Oryctolagus cuniculus: one gene and its partner. The protein of the gene in region 1 binds, or shares a complex with, the protein of each later gene. Links are inferred from orthologs where the notes say so. Each region holds a gene or a part of one and is shown in the gene's direction. Other genes may lie near its edges.

What was found.
Region 2: the proteins of DNM1L (region 1) and MIEF2 are in contact, whole or in part, in a cryo-EM structure (PDB 5WP9), measured with the Homo sapiens proteins. The link is inferred for Oryctolagus cuniculus from reciprocal best matches to the Homo sapiens genes DNM1L and MIEF2. Residues at the interface, in NP_036192.2 of Homo sapiens: Asp190, Met191, Ala192, Thr193, Ser194, Leu197, Lys198, Ile199, Arg201, Glu202, Gly223, Thr224, Asp225, Asp228, Arg233, Val234; in NP_631901.2 of Homo sapiens: Val213, Asp214, Thr215, Val216, Arg218, Arg226, Leu230, Arg235, Val245, Gly246, Tyr248.

Annotation. Positions count from the first base shown.
Region 1 is NC_091440.1:128,779,369-128,791,057, forward strand, and holds part of DNM1L (dynamin-1-like protein), read left to right. Parts: intron 1-967; exon of another isoform or gene 968-1,358; intron 1,359-1,820; exon of another isoform or gene 1,821-1,892; intron 1,893-2,184; coding exon 2,185-2,271; intron 2,272-2,388; exon of another isoform or gene 2,389-2,704; intron 2,705-3,859; coding exon 3,860-4,022; intron 4,023-7,098; coding exon 7,099-7,219; intron 7,220-8,536; coding exon 8,537-8,668; intron 8,669-10,542; coding exon 10,543-10,749; intron 10,750-11,689. UniProt on the Homo sapiens protein: Functions in mitochondrial and peroxisomal division.
Region 2 is NC_091448.1:62,260,298-62,272,769, reverse strand, and holds MIEF2 (mitochondrial dynamics protein MID49), read left to right. Parts: upstream 1-5,725; 5' UTR 5,726-5,881; exon of another isoform or gene 5,882-6,105; intron 6,106-7,089; 5' UTR 7,090-7,096; coding exon 7,097-7,243; intron 7,244-7,325; coding exon 7,326-7,488; intron 7,489-7,615; coding exon 7,616-8,679; 3' UTR 8,680-9,387; downstream 9,388-12,472. Other genes in the region: FLII (protein flightless-1 homolog), read right to left, coding at 15-99, 347-504, 632-807, 1,102-1,205, 1,310-1,471, 1,622-1,707, 2,016-2,096, 2,963-3,034 and 2 more. UniProt on the Homo sapiens protein: Mitochondrial outer membrane protein involved in the regulation of mitochondrial organization.

The DNA of each region.
Region 1 (11,689 bases):
GAGAGAGAGGGCAAGAGCAGGTGAGCCACCTTCCACTAGTTCGCTCCTCACATACTGCAGTAATGGGGCCAGAGCCAGGGACAGGCTGAAGCCAGGTCGCTACAGGCTCCTGAAGCTAGGAGCCAGACTCAGTTCAGGCCTCCCACCTGGGTGGCTGGAACCCAGTCACTTGTGCTGTCCTTGCTGCCTTTCAGGGTGTGTGTTAGCAGGGAGCCGGAGTCAGCTGCCAGAGCTGGAAACGGAACCAGGCACTCCATGGACATCCTAACCAGAGTCTAATCACTAGGCCAAATGCCTGCCTCTTAGGTATCTTAATATCTGGCTAACTCAGTCCTAAAATTTATAAAGGGCCCATGGTGAAAAGGAGGGGGGAGTCTGTAATAATCTAAATCTAGTCTACAGAAGAAAAAATTAAAGGTGATCTCTCACCATCCGAATTTTGACTTTTAATTCAGGGCCCTAATGATTCAGGTACATTTTTTTTTTCTGTCCAACATTTATGTTTATTAAAAAGTGACAAAACCCGTACAAGAAACATAAAATCACAAATTGCTCATCACTCACACAGTAATCTGGAGAGACATCATCACCTCGGACCCTCTCTCTGCTGTGGCTGAGTCCCCTTCCTCTCCTCGACCTCTTCCTGCAGTACCTCCCCTTTTCTTAGATTTCACCCTGGGGGCCCACTGCTGTGCCAGAGCAGCTGTTCCAGTCTCAGCAACCCCACTTCCATTCCAGCTCCCTACTAATGCCCCTGGGAAAGCAGCAGATGGCCCAAATGCTCAGGCCCCTGCACCCAAGGGGGAGACCTGGAAAAAGCTCCTGGCTTCAGCCTGGCCCAGTCCAGGCCGTCATGGCCATATGGAGAGTTAACCAGCATCATGATAGAAGACCTCTCACTCGCTGTCTCTCCCTGTCTCTAACTCTGTAACTCTGCTTTTCAAGTAGGTAAAATAAATCTTTAAAATTTTTTTTTTTTTACCTTAAGTTTAGCATCCCTGTGAAGGGTGCTCAGAGGGAAGCGGTCTGGTAGAATAAATTGGGGAATGGCATTTCCTCTAACTCCGTGTATCTAGCTGTACAGGTTTCTGTTCCTCTGGGTCATTTTCACAGCTTCAAGGTATGTGTTCATGCTGGCATCTGCACCCATGGTTGTTCCATGGACCTGTGTCCCATTCTTCAGTGCAGTGGTTACACTTTCATCACTCAGTTTCACCAAAAATCCCACAAGCTTCATCCAAGCAGCACAGTCCCCCTCTCAGTTCAGTAATGGAGAGAATGCAACCACCTTGGACGGACTGGGCACATGAGTGGCCCGAAACGTGTACTCCAGGGGCTCTGCACGAGGACTTGGAGCACTGTGGATAGACACGGAAGCACCAGCCCAGATGTATTTCCTTAGAAATCTCTTATCACACTAGTGTTGCCACTTGATATTCAAAGATCAAGAACCGAATTGATCCCTTCCCCCTTTTTGTAGCACAAGAAACAACCTCACTATGCAATAACCCTTTCAAAAATTGTGTATTTTCATTTTATTTACAAGACAGAGAAACAGATGTAGATCTTTGATGTATTGGTTCACTCCTCAAATGCCTGCAACAGCTAGTAGGAGCCCGAAATTCAGTCTGGTTCTCCCACATGGGTGGCAGGGATCCATCACCTGCTGCCTCCCAGGGTGCACATTAGCAGGGAGCTGGATGCTTGAACTAGGTACTTAGATATGGGATACAGATGTCCCAAGCAATTTGATTTAACCATCTTTCCAAATGTCCGCCCGCCCGCCCATCTACCCCATCAAATTTAATTGAATAATTTACCTGTGTTTCCTTGTCTGAACCTCTGGGACCTCTTAAATTTGGATAGTGAGAAATATGTTGTTTTGTTCAGCACTGTATTAAACATATTTAAGAAATGATACATGCTTAGAATCAAGAGAAAAGAAACCAAACTAATACAGGGGAAATAAATTGTTCTTATTATTGGTATGGGGTTCAGTAGTATTATAACCCAGCTGATTTATGTCCCATGTATTTCAACAGGTTTAGATTTTTAAAACGTTTTATAGATTGTAATGTAATACATTTTTAAAAAGATGTAATGTTTGCTTGAAATGAGATTTACTACAGTATTGCATTCTTCATTGAATTGTTAATATAATTTTAATATATATTTTACTTTTAGGGAGTAAGCCCTGAACCAATTCATCTTAAGATCTTTTCACCCAACGTTGTCAATTTGACACTTGTGGATTTGCCCGGAATGACCAAGGTAAGGAGTCATTGTTACTCATTGTGATTTTGGTTATGTTAATTTTTGCTTGAAACATTGTGGTTTTTCCCTAACCCCGGGTGAGAATAACCAGCTTCTTTTTGCAGTCACACTTACCTGTTAGAAGCATTTGATAGAGCTGAGCCTTCCTTGAAACACTCTCTCTACTTGGCTTCCAGGATACCATACTCTTCCGGTTTATCTCCAAGCTCACTGGCCACTTCTTTCAGTCTCTTTTGTTGATTTCTTCTCATCTCCCCATTGTCTGAACAGTGAGTGCCCCATAGCTCAGTTTTTGGACTCCGTCCCCTACATGATTTCTTCAGATCTTGTGGCTTTAAAATACTTAAGGTTCTGTATGTTGATGGCATTCAAGTATCTCCAGATATTTGTATATCTGTCTGCTTGACAGATAAAAAGCTTCAAAAAGTTTGTAGAAAATGTGTATTAAGAAAAACTGCACATTGATTTGAAAAACTTACACACCAAAGTAACATTTTAAATTTCATGTTCATGAACTTTTTGAAGTACCCTTGTACACTTAAGTGTCTTGTAAGCGTTATAGATCTGACAAGTTGGATACCAAATTCCTAGATTTGACCCTTTTTTAATCTTCTCCCCTCTCAATAAATGACAACTCCCTTCTACCAATTGCTTAGCCAAAATTTGTAGTCATCCTTATGCTTTTTATTCTGCATTACACTTCCTGTCAGCATGCCCTCTTTGCTGTCCTCACCTGTACAGGACACCCAGAATGCTACTGTGTCTCATTAGACCAGTGTCAATTCACCTGGTTTGGTTGGTACAACAAGCAAATAAATAACAGCTCTTTCTCATTATCTGCCTGTTCTTAACTAAGCAGCCAGAGTGATGGTATTAAACATTAGACTGTGTCCATCCTCGCTAAAAATTCGCCCCAGTAGCCTCCCATTCCACTCAGAGTAGGAGCCCGAGTTCTTACAGAAATCTAAGTGTCTATTTGGTGTCTCCATGCTCTTCTTCTGACTCTTGCTCCATGCTCCTGCCTGCTGTCACCCCGCCTGGGACTTCCTTCCCAGACACCTGCGTGTGCCCTTCCCTTTCCATCTTCACTTTCTGTCATTCTCTCAAAGGTAACAACCCAGTTTCAGATCATCCCTGCAGAGTCTACCGTTGTATTTATTATAGCCCATTCTACCACCTGGATACTATGAGTATTTGTAATCACTACAACACAGGTTTATGAAGGCAGAACGGTTGGTCTGTTTTAGATTCACTGCTGTATTATACTCTGACATGTAGAAAAGGACCCGAAGCATGGTAGGCCATCAGTAGACCTGGGATAACTGAATGGAGTTGTCTCTCAGGCAGTTAGCACTGACTAGTCCTTCACATGGGATCATGTTGGTCAACTTTGGATACTTGCAATAGTTAAATTTTGCTGTTTCACACATTAACCAAATTCATGCATACCCCTGTAGTATCATTAATTTCATTATGTTAACAGTTTGCAAATAGAGAAATAACCTGTAATTTGTAAATTAATGACGGGGGGGGGTTGCTGAGTTGATTTTATTATTAGTTCCTTGCTCATCTCTGTTTGGTTTAGGTGCCTGTAGGTGATCAACCTAAGGATATTGAGCTTCAGATCCGAGAGCTCATTCTTCGTTTCATCAGCAATCCCAATTCCATTATTCTCGCTGTCACTGCTGCTAATACAGATATGGCGACATCAGAGGCCCTGAAAATTTCAAGAGAGGTAGATCCAGACGGTAAGGATAGGTGTTAATATTTAATTAGATGCTTGATTGACAATGATAAATCTCAAGAAAGGAATTTCTATTTTTAAAAGGAATATTTCCAGTTATTAATACAGAGTTTAAAAAAGGAATGCTTTCCTACTTTGCTTATAATTTCAAATAGAAATTCTGATGAAAAATAAGTTTGTCAAGTTGCTGTACAGGCTAGGCAAAAATAATTCACATAATGTCTGTATCTTTAATGGTTACCTTTTATTTGAGAAGTGGACAGAGAGAGAGCGTCCCATCCACTGGTTCACTCCTCACATGCCTGCACTGGGTGAGACTCAGCCAGGCTGAAGCAGCGAGCTGGGAACTCAGTCCAGGTCTTCCACATGGGTGGTAAGAATTCAGCTATCCCCAGGTGTGAATTAGCAGGAAGCTGGAGTAGAGCTGGGACTGGTAGCCAGGCAGAGATACGGCAAGTGTCCCAGCTGCATCTTAACTGTTAGATCAGATTCCTACCCCTAATGACTTTAAATAATAAAATACCTTTAAAACAAAAAGTTTCCTAAGAGGTATAAATATAATGATTTAGGTTTATGAATGGCTTTTTTTAAAAAATATTTATTTATTTGCAGGAGAGATTTATCTTCCATTTGGTTTACTCCCCAAATGGCTGCAACAATTGGAATTGGACTTATCCAAAGCCAGAAGCCAGAAGCTTCACCTGGGTCTCCCACAGGGGTTTTAGGGGCCCAAATACTTGGTCCATCTTCCACTGTTTTCCCAGGCATGATAGCAGGGAGCTGGAATGGAAATGGAGCGGCCGAGACTCAGAACTGGCACCCATGTGGGATGCTGGCATTGCCGGTGGCAGCTTTACCAACTAGCTCAACTCCAGCCTTCAATGCTGACATTTTTTAAAAAGCTTTTTTTTTTTTTTTTTAATTTGGGAGACAGCAGCGGCAAGAGAGAGGAGAGAAAGAGAAAGATCCTCCATCATTGGCACAGTCCTCAGATGCTTGCAAGAGCTACGACTGGGCCATGCTGGAACTAGGCACCAGGAACTCCATCCTGGTCTCCACCTGGGTGGCAAACACTCAAGCACTAAAGCCATCAGCTGCCTTCCAGACTGATTAGCAAGAAGGTGCATTGGAAGAGAGGGGCTGGTGCCGTGGCAAAGTTGGGTTAAGCTTCCGCTGACATCCCCTTTAGGAGTGCCGGTTTGAATCCTGGCCTGCTCCACTTCTGATCCAGCTCTCTGCTGTGTACCTAGAAAGGCAAAAGATAGCCAGAATACTCAGGCCCCTGCCAACCATGTGAAGACAAGAACAGAATTTCGGGCTCCTGGCTTCAGCCTGACTGTTGGTGACCAGCAGATCTCTCTTTGACACACTGCCTTTCAAATAATAAGTGATCTTGAAAAAGAAAAAAGAGGAGGAGGTGGTAGAACTTGATGCTACACATTCTGACAGGGGACATGAGCATCGCAAGCAGCAGCTTAACCTGGTGTACCCTAACATTTGTTCCTGGATGGTTGACTTTTTTTTTTTTTTTTTTTTTTAAAGATTTGAAAGTCAGAATTAGAAAAGAAGGAGAGGCAGAGAGAGAGAGGTCTACCATCTGCTGGTGCACTCCCCAGTTGGCCACAATGGGCTGGAGTTGCACCAGTCAGAAGCCAGGAGCTTCTTCTGGGTCTCCCACGTGGGTGCAGGGGCCCAAGGACCTGGGCCATCTTCTACTGCTTTCCCAGGCCACAGCAGAGAGCTGGATTGGAAAAGGAGCAGCCGGGACTAGAACCGGCGCCAATATGGGATGCCGGTGCCGCAGGCGTTGGATTAACCCACCACGCCACAGAGCCGACCCTGAATTAGCACTTTTAAACTGACCCTTTCACCACAGATATGGTCATACTTCTGATCTGGTAATTGTCAATCTGGAAATACATAGTTAACAATAGTATTATTTACAGTATCAAAAAATTAAACCAAGGGCCGGTGTTGTGGTGCAGCAGGCAGAGCCACTGCCTGTAATGCTGGCACTTCTCATCCAGCTCACTGCCACTCATGTAGGATACCTGGATGGAGTTCCAGGCTCCTGGCCGCGGTTTGACCTATTCCAGGCTGTTGTGGCCACTTGGGGAGTGAACAAGCAGATGGAAGCTCGCTCGCTCTCTCCTTGTTTCCCTTTTCTTTCTGTAACTCTGTCTTTCAAATAAATAAAAAAAATTAAATTAACCTAATATGGCCGTCGAAGGACTGAGGAATTGATAATGAAGTTTAGGAAGGGTGCTTGTTACTGAAAAATGCCCTATGTAAAACCTCATACTGTGAGCAGTTAGAACTCTTGTATATTGCTGGAGCAGGTGGTATAGCCGCTTTAGGAAACCGTGTGGCAATTTCTGTGAAGTTTTAGTTCAACAATCTGATTCTTGGTATTTACCTGTGTTAAATGAGAACCTGTGTTCATTTAAAAGCTAGTATGCAAATATGCATGGAAGCTGTATTTATAATTTCTAGAAACTAGACATATCTCCCAAGTGGGGAGCTAATAACCAAAATCACAGTACATCCATGCAATGAAGCACTCCTCAGCAATAAAAAGAATGAACTACCGATACAGCAACACAGGTGACTCTCAACTGCGTTATGCTGAACAAAACAGCCATAGTCAAAGGCTGTGTGCTATATGATTGCATTATAGAGCATTCTAGAAAAAGGTTAGGCATGGATAACAGGTTTGATTGGTTAGTACAAGAACATTTGAGGGGCAGTAAAACTGCTCTGTCTTGAGGTGGTGGTGACACGCCTGTTTGCATTTGTCAGAACTCAACTATACACCAACACAGTAAACTCTGAACACACTCTAGAAATACATATAAGAAAGTCTGTCCTAAAAGGTAATACAGAATTATATGGGCAAACAGATTTTTATATCGTACGTTTCAAATTGTAGTGCTTGTAAGCAAAGGTTATAAAAGGATTACTAAAATGATGACAGATTAAAGTGGAATTGTAGATGAGAATTTTTTGTGATTAATAATACTTAGTGGCTTTATTTAATGGATTAATTTCTCGGTTTTTTTTTTTTTTTTTGCATTTATCAGGTCGCAGAACCCTAGCTGTAATCACTAAACTTGATCTCATGGATGCAGGCACTGATGCCATGGATGTATTGATGGGAAGGGTTATTCCGGTCAAACTTGGAATAATTGGAGTAGTAAACAGGTTAGCATTCAAAAATGCAATAAGAATTGCAGTACTATCATTTCAAAGCAAGCCTACATTTCTAAAACGGGTCAGAAATGTGATATTGTTTTATTTTCCCCTCCTTTTACTATACTGTTGGCATTGCTAAAGAATTGATTGCTCTAAAGGGAAAAGCTTCCTCTAGATATTTATAATGGAAAATATTTTCTAAACAAAGCATCACAAAATGGAAGACAATTTAATAGCCAGACTTGAAGAGTTGTTGCCTGTTAAGTTCAGTTATGTATGAGAAGGGCACTGGGCAAGGAAAAAAAGTGTTACCAGTTTGTTCCCAATGAGGACAGAATTTAAGGTGGAAGGATGTGAATAAATTCATTTAACTCCTACCACTAGGATTAGATTGGATTTTGTATAATTGCCAGGATATTATTTAGAGCAATTTTTATTAAAAGTATCCTATTATAAATAGCTAGTTTTAATAATTATAGAGAAGGAAACTATTATGAAGTGTCTAGGTTTTAGACACTCTGAGCATTTTCCAAATGGTGTCCCTTTGAACTCTCGCAGCACTCTGTGAGGTGGGTGTTGCTGTCTACTTTATAATCAGAACACTCAGGTTACATATTTGCCAAAGGAAAATGGCTAGTGAAGAGTAGAGCTGGATTTAGATGATGCTCTTAGCCCGAAGTCTTTACATGGTAGGTAATCTTGAGACATGGCTGCTGTTCCCAATCCTTGTACAAACCAGATGGACATGTAATATGGGTTTAAATGACTCCTAACATCTGTGGGTCTTAAGCTTTTTTTTTTTTTTTTTTTTTTTTTGCTAAGCAATACCTAAGATCTATTGCTGTTGTCTACTTATTCACATATCTTTCCGCCTTATCCCTACTCACCTCCCCATCCGTCTGCTCCCCATTCCAACTTCCCTTTCAGGCAAGCGGTTGGCATAATACTGTTGGTTACATTTATAGATGATCACTCTTCAATTTGAATTAATTATTTTTGGTATTAGTTACCTGTCCATGGATGAAATACACAGTTGATTAAGATACATTTCCATTTTTGTGCCTGTACTGCTCTTGGCTGCCGTTAATAATGAGGCTTATGCATGCACCAGTTGCTGTAAGTCACATGGTCTGAATCCTGGCTTGTTGTAAAATAGGGTGGTACCTATCACGAGAAATGATTCTGAGAATTAAATAGAATAACCCATGTCATGTATCAGGGAGCAAAGCCTAGTGTTAACATTACTGTCATCCCTTTCATCATAAAACAGGATGAGAGGACAACAGTTGACTTGACTTGAATAGTTTTGTTGTTTTTCAACTCTAGGAGCCAGCTAGACATTAACAATAAGAAGAGTGTAACTGACTCAATCCGTGATGAATATGCTTTTCTTCAAAAGAAATACCCGTCTCTGGCCAATAGAAACGGGACAAAGTATCTTGCCAGGACTCTGAACAGGTAACATTTTTTTACCTTTTGCAAATGAGATGTTCTTGTTTTGCCAGCAGGTACTTGAGATTTACAAAGCATTTTCAGTTCCCTGCATTTCCATCCTGGGTTCCTTATGGTTTCACTTTTGGATTCTGTGTAATAGGTTCTTGGAAATCAGACGTCTCTATTTTTATTTTTATTGGGATGGCAGACATTAAATCGTCCTGTACTCTAGAACACTTAAGTGAATTTTAAATGTTGTAATTATGACATTTTTGATGAGTTCTGATTATTTTGATGATTACAGGATAGAACTAGATAGCATATGACTGAATTTCAGGGACTGAATTAAAGTGTCTAATTTTCACATCATCCTTTTTAAATTTAGAATGTCTTCTGTTTCTATTCATAGTAGAAATAATTTAAGTTGTAGGTGTAGGGACTAGAAGATTTTTCTAGACGATTTACAAATGACTGAAGTGAAAGTCACTTCTTTTACTTAAATCTTTTCCCTAAATTAAAGGCTTAGGTATCTGGATCCTAGGAATACTGATTTTCACTATATTGGCTACCCATGGCAGAAGTTAAGTCAATGAAACCCAAATTAAATAGGTAGCTTTGGATCGAATAGCTTACTTTCTTTGTGGTAAATGCAATAATATGAAAATAATTTGCTTATTTAAAGTATATATTTGGTTCTCTAGCATTTGGTATAATTTGATTGGTCAAAGGCAAATTTAAAAGGAATGACCAAAACAGCTTCCTTTGTGCCACTTTTTTTCAGACTAAGTATTTATTACCCTAATCTAAGACTGCAGTATTTCCTGCGCATGTGAAATAGGAAAAATCTAGAAGAGTGTTTCCATCCTGTTCTCACACAGCAGAGGATGCTTCTGACATGAGATCTGTGGGTTTCTCCCCAGTACACTAAATACTCAGTTCTCCGGTGGATTCTAGCTGGGTATCTTCTAATTTAATTCAGTCTGACTCTGCTTCCCTAGAGACAGCATCACATGCCTTTGCTGGGTGCTCAGTCCCAGAAGGCTGCCTGCACTTGAGACACTAGTGGAAATACGGGCTGCGGCCTGTGCATCTGACCGATGGGCTATGAACTGGGTTTTCCGTGATCTTATTAGCAAGTTTGACTTGAGGATGGGGACATTGAGCTTGATTAGGTGGTAAAATTATAATTATATATATTAATATATATCTAGACAACGGCATATAATACATATGGTCAGCTTTATAAATAGTTATAAGGCATACAACATATGTGGGCAGTTTTATAAACCCTAAAATGTATTTCTACACATTTTTTAAAGGATATTAGAAAAGATACAAACGAACAGCCAGACGGAAGAGATGCACAGGGCAAGGCCTGTGGGAAAGGGCCTGAAGCTTCCGTGCCCTCTCTGGGCACATCATGCTCAGAAAGCTCCGTGTGTTCATCTGCCCACAAGCTTCATGTGCTCTGTCCTTTTTGTTTTTCTGGAAGCTGCATCCACACACATGGTTGATCACATTATTGGCTATTGTGGGAATGAGCTCAACCCTCAGCCTCTGTCCTCTCCCCAGAGTTTGGAGAGTGGGGCTGACCACTGCTCCTTCCTGCCTTGGGCTTTCTCGTGACCAGCCCCCATCCTGAAGCTCTCCGGGGGCCCCGGCCACAAGTCATCTGATGCCTTTACAGAAACACTCATGGCTCTGGAGATTCCAAGGATTTTAGGAGATGAGTGCCAGGAAATGTTCAGAAAAGCTAAATACATACTTTGTAACACTACACCTGCCAAGACAAATGATTTAACGAGTTTTTCCCAATGTTTGCATTTTAACAGTAAGACTTGTTTGGGGCTTCATAATACACACTCACACTTTAAAACCCTCTCTCTGATGTTTGTTAGGCTGCTGATGCATCACATCCGAGATTGCTTGCCAGAGCTGAAAACAAGAATAAACGTTCTAGCTGCTCAGTACCAGTCTCTCCTGAACAGCTATGGGGAGCCTGTGGATGACAAAAGTGCTACTTTACTCCAGCTTATTACCAAATTTGCCACAGAATACTGTAACACTATTGAAGGAACAGCAAAATATATTGAAACTTCAGAGCTGTAAGTAAGACATTTTTCTGTAGATTTGGGTACCTGGATTGCTGGATCCTTTTGTTTGTTTGTTCAAGTGACATTTAACTCAGATTATCTGACTACTAAGCTAGCAAACAGGAAGACCATTTTGTAGAAATGATAAAATGCACCCTTCACCTCACCTTACTTACCTCACTACAGCACGGCAAGAAAATGGACATTGGAACAATCCATGGCACTTAGACTTCACGTTACACTCACACATCTGTGTGTGTGTGGTTCTGTGTCCATTTTGTGACGCAGATGGTCTGTCACATGAGTTAACTCCAGAAACAGAGTATTTAACAGATAAAATACTGAATGGTTATTTCATATATGCCATATATAAGGAAATGAATATTACCACAGTAGGTCTAAGCAACAGTGGGTAAGGCAGGTTGAGGTAACATGAGGCCTGATTAGGTGGCGACAGTATAATTATTTTAAGTATTTAAATACAGCTTATAAAATATACATATCTCAAAAGTGCACACGTTTATGGACAGTTTGGTAAACAGGTGATCAGTTATCTGTCCACCTAATCAAGGTTTAGGATGCTGATGAGACCATTTATCTTTGTCTCAGGACTGGGAGAGCACCATACTTGTGACGTTTGAGTTGGCGCTGAGTGGTGTGGGAAGGTGGGAAGGAGAGGGTGTTTTGGGCTGGACAGCAGTAGTGCAGATGCATTTGGAGGACAGCGTGCATGTGATGGACACAGAGGCAGTGAGGCTCTTGTCAATTTGTAGAACTTCCATAGCTGTTGAAAAATATAACTGTCTTAGAGTAGTGATCCACTTATTAGAAGTGCAAGGTTGGCAGCAGAGAGACTGGTTACTGGTATTTTTAACCATTTTTAAGGGCGCAGTACAGTAGCATTAACATGTTCATAATGTTGTATAACCATCCCTAGTATCTGTTTGCATCA
Region 2 (12,472 bases), on another chromosome or scaffold:
CCCGGCGCCCCCACCTGGAGCTCCGTGAGGAAGTGGATGGCCTCCGGGAGGGTCACCAGGCGGTTCTTGTTCAAGACCAGCTTCCGCAGCTTCGGGCACCTGGGAGGACAGAGCTGGCCGGGGCCTTGGGAAGGAGGCACGGATGCGGGGCCGGGCGGGGCGGGGAAGGAGCACCGGGCAGGGCAGGGCAGGGCAGGGGTCCCTGCTCTCTGCCTGAGGGCCATCTCAGCGCCAGGAGCCCAAGTTCGCGGGCACCGTGACCCTGTAGAAGGTGGGAGCAGCCTCGGGCCCCCACCCCCGGTGTAGCCCCGCCCCCCGCGTGGCCCCGCCCCTCCCGGCGCAGCACCTGCAGAGGCTCTCCGGGATCAGCTCCAGGTTGTTGTTGGTGGCCATGAACTCCTCCAGGCTGCTCAGCTTGCCGATGCTGGAGGGCAGCCCATCGAAGTCCAGCTTGTTGGAGTTCAGGTACAGCTTCTTCAGCTTGGTCAGCTTGCAGATGGCCGACTGCGGGGGGCGCAGGGCAGCGGCGGGGGGGGGGGGGAAGGCGAGCGGTCAGGGCCAGGCTGGGGCCCAGCAGCCCAACGTCTCCCTCCCCTCCGGCCCTCCCGCGTGGCCCCAGGCCCAGACGCACGGGCAGGGAGGTGAGCTGGTTGCGGGACAGGTTCAGGGTCTCCAGGTGCACCCACTGGTCGATGCACAGGGACAGCTCCGGGATCTGGTTGCTGCTAAGGTTGAGGCGGCGCAGGCTGGGCAGGGTGTACAGGCACTCGGGCACCCTGGTCAGGTCGTTGCACGACAGGTCCACGTCTGGGCAGGGGAGGGGGCGTGGGAGCATGAGCCAGCCGGGGGCCACAGTAGGTACCGGGTGGCCAGCCCCGGGCTGTGTCGCTGTAGGCTAGGGACAACCTTTCCAAGCTGTTTCTCTCTGGACAAAGCCACTCAGCCTGAGTGGATCACCAAGGGCCCGCACCGGCTGCTGGTGGCCCCAGGGCTGTGACAGACGGACAGCCACAATCCCAACGCAACCGTGCCCTTCTCCCGGGGAGGGGAGGGGGCGTGGGGTCTGAGCACGGGAGGCGGCGCGGGGGGTGGGGGGGTCACCTGCGAGGTTGCTCAGGCCCTCCAGGCTGGTGGGCAGGTTGCTCTGGGTGCGCTGGGTGTTGCGCAGGTGCAGCGTCTGCAGGGCTGTCATGGCCGGGAGCTGCCTGGGGGAGGGGTGGGTGACACACACAGGCGGTCAGGGGCAGGGGCGGGGCGCCCCGTGTACCCCAGGGGCGGGGGCGGGGAGGGGAGCGAGCCGGGCGCCCACCGGAGCTGCGCGTGCAGCAGCGGGTTCCCGTTGAGCACCAGCGTCTGCAGGTGCACCAGGCGGCGCATCTGCGGGGGCAGGCTCTCCAGCCGGTTCTCACTGAGGTCCAGGTACAGCAGGTCGGTGAGGTTGATGAACAGCTGGTTGGGGATGGTGTCGATGCTGTGGGCGGGGCGGGGGACGGCGCTGCCTGAGTCCTCGGGGTGGGGACACTCACGCCCAGCCCCGGCCTCAGGTCCCCGGCCCCAGCCCTCCAGCCCCGTCCCCACCCCACCCCCGCCCCCCGGCACGTGCGCGCGGCTGGCCGGGCACCTGTTGTGGCTGAGGTTGAGCACCAGCATGTTCCTGGCGTTCTCCAGCTCCCGCGGGCACTCGGTCAGCTGGTTGTGGCTCAGGTCCTAGGGAGACGGGCCAAATCCCAGGTCGGGGCGTCCCCGCCCCCACCCTGCTTCTGCCAACCTTGGCGATGAGGTAAGGCACTGAGAGCCAGGGCATGAGGGGGTCTCAGGGCCAAAGCGGCTGGGGCCTCGGGCAGAGGGGCGTTTGGGCTAGGGCTGGGACTCCAGGCGTGACCTCGGGCAAGGCCCGCTCCGGCCTCAGTCTTCCCGTCTGTAAACTGGGCTAACAGTGGGCCCAGGGGCCATCGCGATGGGTGGGGACTGGACCAAGAGGCTGGCAGGGGGCAGCTGGGCGGGCAGCCACTGACCAGGACAGAAAGGTCCTCCAACTTGAAGATGTCGTCAGGGACTCCGGAGTTCTTCAGCTGGTTGGCTCGAGCCACGATGGCCTGCGGGTAGACCACGAGAGTCCCTGCTTCCTGGCTTCCACCCCCCGCCCCGGGAAGAGGCAGAGGCAGAGGCAGAGGTGGGCCCCTTTGGGCCTGCCCTGTCTCTGCTCTACAGCCTCCCGCGGTGAGCTCCTATTCACGCTTCAAAACCCAAATGTGCCCCAGAGCCCAGCACGGAAACCCCAGATGTTTCTGATCAGACACCCCTCCTGTTCATTCAGGAAGATGGGGTGCGGTTTGGAGTGAGGGTGGCTAGGACAGATGGAGGGGGCTGGAGTGAAGAGAGGGCAACGTGGGCTGACCGGAAATGCTTCCCTCCCTAAGGTCGGGGACAGAGCGGGGACCCATGCGACCCCGGGGCCGCCCCTGCCACCTCCGCAGCGCTGTGCGGTTGCCCACGGGGTCCCCACTGGCCCTCCCAGCCACCCCATCTGCAGAAGGGACTTGTCCCAGGCCACACAGCTGGGAGTGGCAGAGCCCGGCTTGGCTCCGGGGGAGCTCCCAGGGCTGAGGCTCCAGCCGGGGCCAGGGCCACCTCCCTGAGGCTCCGAGGGCCCGGCCAGCAGTCTAACATCCAGCAGGGAAGAGCGCCCACTGGCCAAACCCCGCCCCCCCGACTCCAGCTGTTCGGCTGCCCGGCTGTGTGGCCTTGGGCGAGTGACCTGCGCCTGTGGCCATGTCCTCATCTGCGACACCGTCAGGCATGGGGGGACGTGGACGTCCACTCGGCATGCCTGGCACCCGTGGAGCTGTCCCCACCCACAGGGACCACGCCACGTCCACCCACGACAAAGGGCCCCAGAGCCCGGAGCCTGGCAGAGAAGCCGGCCGGGCCCTGCCTGGGGTCCGGCACCCGCCGCACTCACCCGCAGAGAAGGCAGGCTGGACAGCTCCCCGTGAAGCGTGGTGAGGTTGTTGTGGCTCACGGACAGGTGCTCCTGTGCCAGGGCGGGGCAGCGGAGGCTCAGTGGGGCGGGGCGGGGGTATCCACAGTCCCCACCTGCCACCCCTGCTCTGCACAGCCCCAGACGGCCAGCGCCAGCCCAGGACGCCCCCACAGCCTCCTTCCTGCTCAGACCCAGCTTCTTGCACACCTCCCAGGACGGGGCGCTCATCCCCTCCCTGTCTGCCAGATCCTCCCAAGGCCCCGCCCCTCCTCCCCACAGACCCCACCCCTCCTCACCAGCTTCTGCAGGGCGGCTAGCTCCTCGGGCAGGTAGCAGAGGCCTGTGCGGTTCAGCTTCAGCCATCGTAGGCTTGTCATGGACTTGACATTCTCAGGGAAGTAGCCACCCTGGGGTGGGGGTGGGGGTGTGCTGAGGCTGGCCTGGGAGAGGGCTCCCCCTGCCCGTGGGCACATTTGAGGGAGGCCACACAGCCAACTCTCAACAACCACAAGATCCTCCCCACAGGCCCCGCCCCCTCCAGGGGAGCCCTCCCTACTGGCCCAAGCCCCTCCCCTACCCGTGGAGGCTCCAGGGGCCAGAGCGGAGGCCTAAGAGGGTCTCTGCTACTGCCCTTGAGCCCCAGGAGGGGCCAAGCAAAATGGGGATATCCTGGCCCCCCCATTGTGTGGTGAGCTTAGCTCAAATTCCTGGGCCCCATACTCTGGGTCTGCCTGGGCTGTGGGACCCCACCCCCACCCCGTACCCTCAGCACCCTGGCCACTCCTAGCAAGGTCCCCTGCCCTGTGTCCCCCTCTCCCAACCCTGCCCGAGTGGGTGCCACCTCCTTCCTTCCCCGTGTTCCCCTCCCCAACACCCCCCCCCCAGCCCTCGTGGCCGAGTCTGGGGCAGCCGCTGCAGCCAGTGCCCAGGGGCTGTGCCCCTCCCCCCACCGGCCACATTCCCAGCTGGTGACTCAGGCCCGCCCAAGCCCAGGGGAGAAGCGTGGAGACCCCAAGTGGGGATGGCTGAGGTCGGGACGAGGAACGGAGATGGGACAGCACAGATGTGGACAACACAGGCTGGACAGGAGCCCGCCGGCCTCCGCCCCACACCCTGAGACGCCTAAGTGGACAGGCCAGAGGTTGCCCATCACCGGCCGGAAGCCCCGCCCACCTGGCTCTGGCTCTGGGCGCCCCTACCCATATTGAGAACCTCCCCCCAGCCAGAGCGTCCAGACCGCAAGTCTACACTCGCAGGGTAGACTCGAGTCCCTTCTCCGGATGAGAAAAACCCAGGCCCGGGAGAGGGGAAGTGACTTGCCCAAGACCACACAGGATGGAGCGCAGGGCGGTGATGAGCCGCCTCCGGGCCCGCCCTTGGGCAGCCAAGGCAGCGGCGGCCCTGAGTCAGCGGCCGGCTGGGCCGTGAGACCCCCGGGGCGGCGGTGCGCAGGCCCGCAGCGCCCACGCCCTCCCCCGGCCTGGGCCCGCGCCGCTCGGGCTCGGCCTTCCCGCGGGGGGACGCTGGGCGGAGGCCCGGGGTGCCGGCTGCGGGCTGCGGTGGGGAGGCCCGCAGAGCCCCGGCCGCCGCCCGCAGTGTGGCCGGAGGCGGGCGAGGTGGTGCCCGCGCCGAGCCCGGATCGCCGCTCACCTTGAAGTCGTTGCCGCTGAGGTCCACGCCGCGCACGAACGGCAGCACCCCGGTGGCCTCCATGGCGGCGCCGCTCTCGCTGCCGGGCCGGCCGGGCGCTGGGGGCGGCTCGGGAGCCGCGGGCTGGGCCAGCGCCGACTCCGCCCCGTTAACCCGCCCGCGCCCGCCGCCGCCGGCACCTCGGGCCTCGCCGGGGCCCGGGGCCTTGCGCTCTGGGGACCTCGCCGGGGCCCTGGGCCTTGCGCTCTGGGGACCTCGCCGGGGCCCGGGGCCTTGCGCTCTGGGGACCTCGCCGGGGCCCTGGGCCTTGCGCTCTGGGGACCTCGCCGGGGCCCGGGGCCTTGCGCTCTGGGGACCTCGCCGGGGCCCTGGGCCTTGCGCTCTGGGGACCTCGCCGGGGCCCGGGGGCCTTGCGCTCTGGGGGCCTCGCACTCTGCGTCCGCGCACAAGGGGTCCCCGGCGGTCTCCGTGCGGAGCCGGGGCGGCCCCACCTTCCTCACCCTACCAAGGTGGTGGCCGGCAGCGAGTGACCACGCGCGCACGTGCGGCTCGAAGCACGCAGCAGGTGCTTGGTGCGTGGCAGGTGGTTCTCATTAAGGCCCGCATGCAAACCACCCTTCCCAGGGGCGCTGCCTACGTCCCCATTGTACGGCACGGGAAACTGAGGCCCAGGCGGACAGAGGGCAGGCCCAGGGACGCACGGGGCCGGCGGCACACCCCCTACCCCGCGCGCAGACAGGTGCTAAGGCGCTCCCGCAAAGGTGACTTAGGGGTCGGCGTGCAGGCCTTTGGACCAGGTGCTACCACCCGTCTGCCCGGCCAGAGGAAGGAAACTGGGGCCCAGCCAGCTTCCTCCACGCGGGAGGCTCACATCACACACGCACACGCGCACGCATCCCCCGCGCCTCTGTGGGCTCCAAGCAGGCACCACGCAAACGTTGCGGGCCCAATAATGCAGCCCTGCGCCTTTAAATCCGGAGTGCCCCCGGAAAGCCCCGCCTCCGAGGGAGCGCGCAGGGCGGAGAAGGGGCGTGGCAGGCCCCTCATTGGCCGAACCTCGCAGTGTTTTGGAACGCCCCTGAAGAAGCCGAGCGCTCCGATTGGAGCTAGGGCCTGCTCGTCTGCCTACGCCAGCGCCTCGGCCTTCGGGGCCCGGGTCCTTCACGTTCCATCCGCAGGCGGGTTCCGGCGCCGGGTCCCGGCGGGCCCGCTGCGTGGTCCGGTCGGTGTGTGGACGCCGCGACGCAGGTACGGCTGGGAGCCCGGCGGGGCCTCCCCGACAACCCGCATCCCGGGTCCCCCAGCCCTAGGTGTGGCGCACGTCCGGGGGCGGGGCCCGGGAGGATTCCTGTGAGCCCCGAGTTCGAGTCCCGGCCCTGCCGTTCCCGGCTCGGGTGCTTGACTGGGTTTCCCAAGGCCTCCGTTGTCCTCGCCTGTGAACCGGCCCACCGAGGGACTGCCGCGCCGGCCTGGTAAGCCCGGGCCCAGCGCCGGCGGCTTGCGGGTTATTTTTAACTGCTCGGTTCCTGCGCGCCCCCCACCCCTTAGGTGGCACGGAGCCCTCGCTGGGGCAGGTGCGCGTGCGCTGGAGGGGTGGGCATTTCAAGTGCTTTACGCACTTGGCAGCGTGGAGGCCTGGGGGCCGATGGCAGCGCTGGTCCGTGGCCGGGGCCGCGGGGGTCAGCCGGCTGGCCCGTGACCTCCCCCAGGACGCCGGAGCCCCGTCTTATTTTTAGTCTGGCGCTAAGAGGCAGGTGTCCCGGGCTGAGTCACACAGAGCTTCGGGCTCCAGCTGCCCCGGGCAGTGGGGGGGCAGGGCACCCAGGGCGCAGCAGGAGGGCGGGCCGTGACCTCGCCGTCCAACGCTGAGGCTCCCGGGTGCCCTTGGCCACCCGTCCCCTGCACCCTCAGGGCCCGAGGTCAGGGTGGGCGTGGGCCTTCTCTGCCTCCACTCGGGCACTGCTCACCTCCTACCAGCTGGGCTGTGGCTCCAGGCCTGCATCTGGCTTAGCATCCTGCAGCCAACCCCCACCCCCCGACCCCGCCCCGACCTCTTGAGGAGCCGGCCACAGCCAGGAGGCCCTGCCCCCCCATCCCCTACCCTGACCTTGTGCTGAGCCGGCCACAGCCAGGGGGCCCTCTCTTTGGGGTCTTCATCTTTGGAGTTCCCTGCTCAATGCCCTTCTACATGATGGCTCCTGGCAGCCCGGACCCTCTGCCAGGGGCCTCCGTGTGAGCCCCCTTTGCCAGGGGCTGGGTTATTGGCCGGTTTGGGGAGGGGTCGTGGCTGCTCCCCCGGCTCCGTGCAGGAAGCCCTGCTAGCAGCCCCTGACTCACGAGGAATCTTCCAGAAGCTCCTCCTTGTGGACCCCAGAGCCCCTGTGCCTGCCCAGCCAGGTGCCCTCCCCGCCCCACCCCCACCCCGCAGCTACCCCGCGCCCCCGGCTCCCCTGCAGGTGGACCATGGCGGAGTTCTCCCAGAAGCGGGGGAAGCGGCGTGGCGGCGAGGGCCTGGGCGGCGCCGTGGACTTCCTCCTGGCCAACGCCCGCCTGGTGCTGGGTGTGGGCGGCGCGGCTGTGCTGGGCATTGCCACACTGGCCGTGAAGCGGGTAAGGCCGGGCTGGCGGGGGCTGGGGCTTGGTCATGGCTGCCGGCCGCCAGGTGCCCTGCTCAGCGCCGCTCTGCCCGCAGCTCATCGACAGGGCCACCGGCCCCCGGGACGAGGATGACGCCAAGGGGGACGGCTGGACGGAGCTGAGCCTGCTCAAGGCCACGCCGCACCAGCAGCCCCGGCCCCCACCTGCCGCCCTCAGCCTGCCCGAGCCACGCCGGCCCCCTGCCCCCTCCACGCCAGGTGAGCCGGAGCCTGCGCCCGGGTCCCTGCTCAGGCTGTTGGAGCTGTGTGGCCAGGGTGCTGGGATGCGGTCGGGTTCCCGCAGTGCATTGTGGGCTGCTCTGACGTGTCCCCCTTGCCTCTGCAGAGGGGCCCGCGGACGCCGGTCCCCAGCCGCCGCCTCTGCTCAGCCCCCCGGCCCCGCTGTGCCTGACCTTCCAGGAGAAGCTGCTGGCATTCGAGCAGGCCCACGTGGCCATCCCCGAGGCCCAGGTGGCCTTGGCCAAGCAGCTGGCCGGCGACATCGCCCTGGAGCTGCAGGCCTACCTGCGGAACAAGTTTCCCGAGCTGCCCTTTGGGGCCCTCGTGCCCGGCGGGCCGCTCTACGACGGGCTGCAGGCCGGGGCCGCCGACCAGGACCACGTGCGCCTCTCGGTGCCGCTGGCGCTGGAGCCGGGCCTCTGGAGCCTGGTGCCCGGCGTGGACACCGTGGCCAGGGACCCTCGCTGCTGGGCCGTGCGCAGGACTCAGCTGGAGTTCCGCCCCCGCGGCAGCAGCCCCTGGGACCGCTTCCTGGTGGGCGGCTACCTGTCCTCCCGCCTCCTGCTGGGTCTGCTGCGCAAGGCGCTCACCGCCTCCGTCAACTGGCCGGCCATCAGCGGGCTGCTCGGGTGCCTGATCCGGCCCAGCGTGGCCTCGGAGGAGCTGCTGCTGGAGGTGCGGCACGAACGCCTGGAGCTCACCGTGGCTGTGCTCCTGGCCGTCGCCGGGGCCGGCACGGGCGCCGACTGCCAGCTCCTGGCCTGGCCCCTGGAGGGGCTGGCTGGGAACCTCTGGCTGCACGACCTGTACCCCAAGGAGGCTGCCCGACTGCGGGCCCTGGATGAGCAGGACGCCGGCAGCCGGCGGCGGCTGCTGCTGCTGCTATGTGGCGTCTGCCGTGGCCACCCCGCCCTGGCCCGCCTGGGCCGGGGGCCCCTGACGCAGGTGGTCCTGCGGGCGGGGGAGCAGGACGTGGACTGGACCGAGGCGGCCCTGGGGGAGCGCTTCCTGCAGGCCCTGGAGCTGCTGCTCCAGAGCCTGGAGCAGGCCAGCCTGCCCTGCCACTTCAACCCCGCTGTGGACCTGCTGGCCGGCCTGCGGGACCAGGACATCGACGACGCGGGCTACGCCCTGTACTGCGGCCTGCAGGCACCCGAGGCGCTGCTGTAGGCCCGGGAGGGCCCCTGGCACCGCGCCCGCCTCCCGTCCCGTGGTCACGTGGGCTTTGGAGTGGATTTGTTTGTGCTTGCTTGCAGCCAGAACAGTAGAGGGTGCTCCGCTGAGCAGGCCTGGCCTGTGGCCGTCTGGATCCTTGAGCCCCAGGGGCTTGAGTCGCTGGCACCCAAATGTGCCTGGGCCTTTCAGGGCCAGCCGAGGACCTTGACCTTGGGCCCTGACCGTCATCACCAGCAAGGAGCCCTCTGCCGTCCTGGCCGGGGGCTGCCCGCTCCGCTTCCTGCTGAGTGTGATTGAGGCTTTCCTGGGCGCCCCCTGGTGGCTGAGCCGTTGAAGTGTGTGGCATTTTCTGCAGGGACGCCGCGGGCTCGGTTTTCTCGCTGAGCCCCCTGCAGCCCTGGCGCTGGCGCTGCCTGATGCACTACCCGACCCTACCTCAGGGAAAGCCCCTTCCTTCCGCCAGGGGGGTGCTGCGGGGCCCTGCTGGAGCCGGGGGGGGGCATGCCCCGCCCCCGCCGTGGGGCCCCGAACCAGCCACCCTCAGCCGAGCTGTGTGCCGTGAGTCTGAAGATGGCCGGGGTGTGGTGGGGGCTGGAGGGGGCATCTGCCCTCCCAGGACCCCTCCTGCTGCCGCCGGTAGCCTTCCTGCTGAGCAAAGCTATGCCTTGAAGAATGTGAACAATAAAAGGAGAAATTGTTGTATACGTGGTTTGCCGCGTGGGGGTGGGGCCAGGCGCTTTCCTAAGAGGCAGGAGGGTAGGATTTAGTGATTTATTGGCTTATAATTTATGTATCTGCTGGTTCACTCCCCAGATGCCTGCAACAGCTGGGGCCAGGAGGCAGGAACTCCATCCGGGTCTCGCTGTGGGTGGCAGGGACCCAAGCGTCTGGCTAAGGAAGCTGCATCGGAAGTGGAGGTGGGGCTTGAGCCTGGGACTAGGGGCCGGCTGCTGAACTGGCTGGCGTACCACTCACAGAAGCCTTAGCTCTCGCCCTCCGAGGCAGGAATAGGTTCACACGCTGCTTTGTGGCTGTCGGCTCCTGGGGGTATGGGGGGTCCCCAGTGTCTATGGGAGCACCAGGCCCAGCCCCGTGGGACCCTCTCAGGGCCCCCTCCTGTTGCTGGCACGGCAGGGGAAGGTCTGGGTCATAGGAGCGGGCGCCAGGGCCTGCTGTACCAACGTCCTGCTTCTGTCCAGAAGGGACTGTGGGGGAGGGGGAAGTGTGTGGTGGTTGGGTCACGTGGGATGGCTGTGCCTACCTCCAGTGCAGGGTGATGGGTGGATTTGGCCTTGGCCAGGAGACCGGCTTAGTTGGGAGGTCAGTTCCAATCACTTGGTTCAGCTTCGGGCAGTTTTTCTGGGGGCAAAGGGCAGCGGGGCGAGTGCAGGAGCAGTGTGGGGACAGAGCCTGTGCCCGTCTTCTCTGTCAACTGGGAACTACTACCACTTCCTGTGCGGGCGCTGGAGTGGGCACAGGGGCAGCTGCCCCACAGCCTTGGCTTCTGCCGCCTCCCTCCCGCCCGCCACCAGAGCCAGCTCCATCTTTCTTGGATTTATTTGAGAGGCAGAGTTAGAATGAGGGAGGCGGATCTTCCGTCCACTGGTTTACCCCCCAAACAGGCCACCAGTGGCCTGGCCCAGAAGCCACGTGGGCGGCCATGTTCACCTGCTGCTGCTGTCCAGGGGCATTAGCCGGAAGCCAGGTTGGAAGTGGGACCCTGCATTCATTATGGGATGCTGGCGTCGCAGGCAGTGGCTTCACCTGCTGCACCACAACGCCGGCCCCGTCACCTTGCACTCAACACAGGCGCGAGGCGGGCTGCTCAGCTGCACAATCCCGCATGCACCTGCCTGGGCATCCTAACACCCGGGTTCCCCAGGTGACCCCTGGAGCAGGCGAGCAGTTAGAAAGCGGCCACCCCCAGGTCCCTGCCCTCATACAGCTCAGGAAGTGGTCTGGGCACCCACTGGCTCACCGTGGGCCTTTGGAGGGAGCTCAGCTGCAGGCCCATCCCTCAGGTGGGGCCCTCGGGTGCCCCTGGAGCAGCCGTGCGGTTCAGCTCCCAGCTGCGCTGTCAGAAATCCAGCCTTGGGAGAGTCCGTGCGAGCAGCTTCTGCACTGGGCTGGCCCCTGGGGTGAAGGGAAAGCAAGCAGCAGGCAGGTCCTGAAGGTCTCACTCCTGCATCCTACGGGGGAGTGCCCGGGTCCAAATCCCTGCTGCGCAGCCGACTCTGGCTTCCTGCTAATGCACCCTTGAGGAGGCAGCAGGTGGTGGCTCAAATACTTGGGGGAAACCTGGATTAAACAGTTAACAAACAGCAAACGAGCCTCCAAGGAGGGAGGCTGGGTGGCAGGAAGCCGGGGCGGCTGGGTCTGGGAAGCGACGTCCACCTGCTGTCACTGGGCTGCATTTTCCACGTTGAGCCGTCCCCATCCTATCACCAGCAGCGCATGGGCGTGGCTCACCCCGAGTGCCATCTCAACGCCAGGCAGAGTGCAGACCCCAGGGCTGGCAGGGTTCCAGGCAGGGGCGGCCTGGCGGCTGCTCCACGCCTTTCCCGTTTCTGTAACAGGGGGCCTTCAGCCTGGTACCTCGTGTCTGTAATGTTCCCATTTCTCATGAGGGCACTTCCCTTCGGAATCAGAAAAAGCCATTTTTAAAAGGTAGCTCCCGGAGGAAGTGCAGGCCGCGGTAACAGGCCCCAGCGTGGAGCCAGGACGGCGCAGTCACTGGGCAGTGGCCTGGGGTCTTCCTGTGCTGTCCAGCAGCTCCCAAGACGCCATCGGCCGCAGGACTCCCAGGCTCACGAGGCTGGCTTGGGTTCCCGCGGCAGGCAAGCCGGAGGGCGTGGGGCATGTGGATCTGTGGCTCACGGGGCTGGTGGCAACACCCTGTGAGCAAGGAGACCAGGGGCCACCTCTGGGTTCTAGTCTAGCAAACCCGGATCCTGCACGACGTCGGGTGGGATCCGGGCCTGAGCTCCTGGCCACCACAGGCCCTGGGAGAAGCTGGCGAGTCCACCCGAGGGCAGTGGTCCCTGTCTAGTGTCTCGGACGGCGCTGCAGGGGACCTGACTTCCTGCAGCTGTAGCCATCGGGGACAGGGCTGGGCTGAGCCCCTCAGCCACCAGCAATGCGGGGCAGCCGCGTCCTGTCTGCTGTACATGGGAGGTGTGGCTCCGAGTCCTCGTGCTACGGGGGCTCAGCCGTGGTGTGGGGAGGGGCCGGGCATCAGACAGTTCCTCAGGAAGTTAACAGGAAGTTGCCACAGGAGCCAGCGATGCCACTGCCGGGCGCGTGCTCAACAGGAGCAGACAGAGCCGTGCACGACCGCCCACAGCGGCAGGTGCAGACCACCACTGTCCACCGAGAAGTGGGCAAACAGGCGCCACAGTGTCCCGCCTCCCCCACAGTCCCACTGCTTTGTGTAAGAGACTCAAACACCCTAGGGGCTGGCGATGCAGGCCACAGCCGCCCTCACACTCCTCTCACTGTAGTTCTGTCACGGCAACCATATCTCATTACTAGTTATCGCTGGGAACCTCCCACCGTGCCCGACCTGCGCACGTCACCAGACTGACGTATGTGGCACGGGGGCTCAGCACCGCCCATGGCTTCAGGCACCACGGAAGCTCTGGACCCACAGAGGGACCACTGCACACACGGGACTCTCAGTGACAAATACCGATCCACGCCACGATGTGGACCCTGCAAACGGCAGGCCCCGTGGAAGGTGCTAGAAACAGGTCCCGCGTACGTGGCTGCAGATACAGAAGACCCAGAC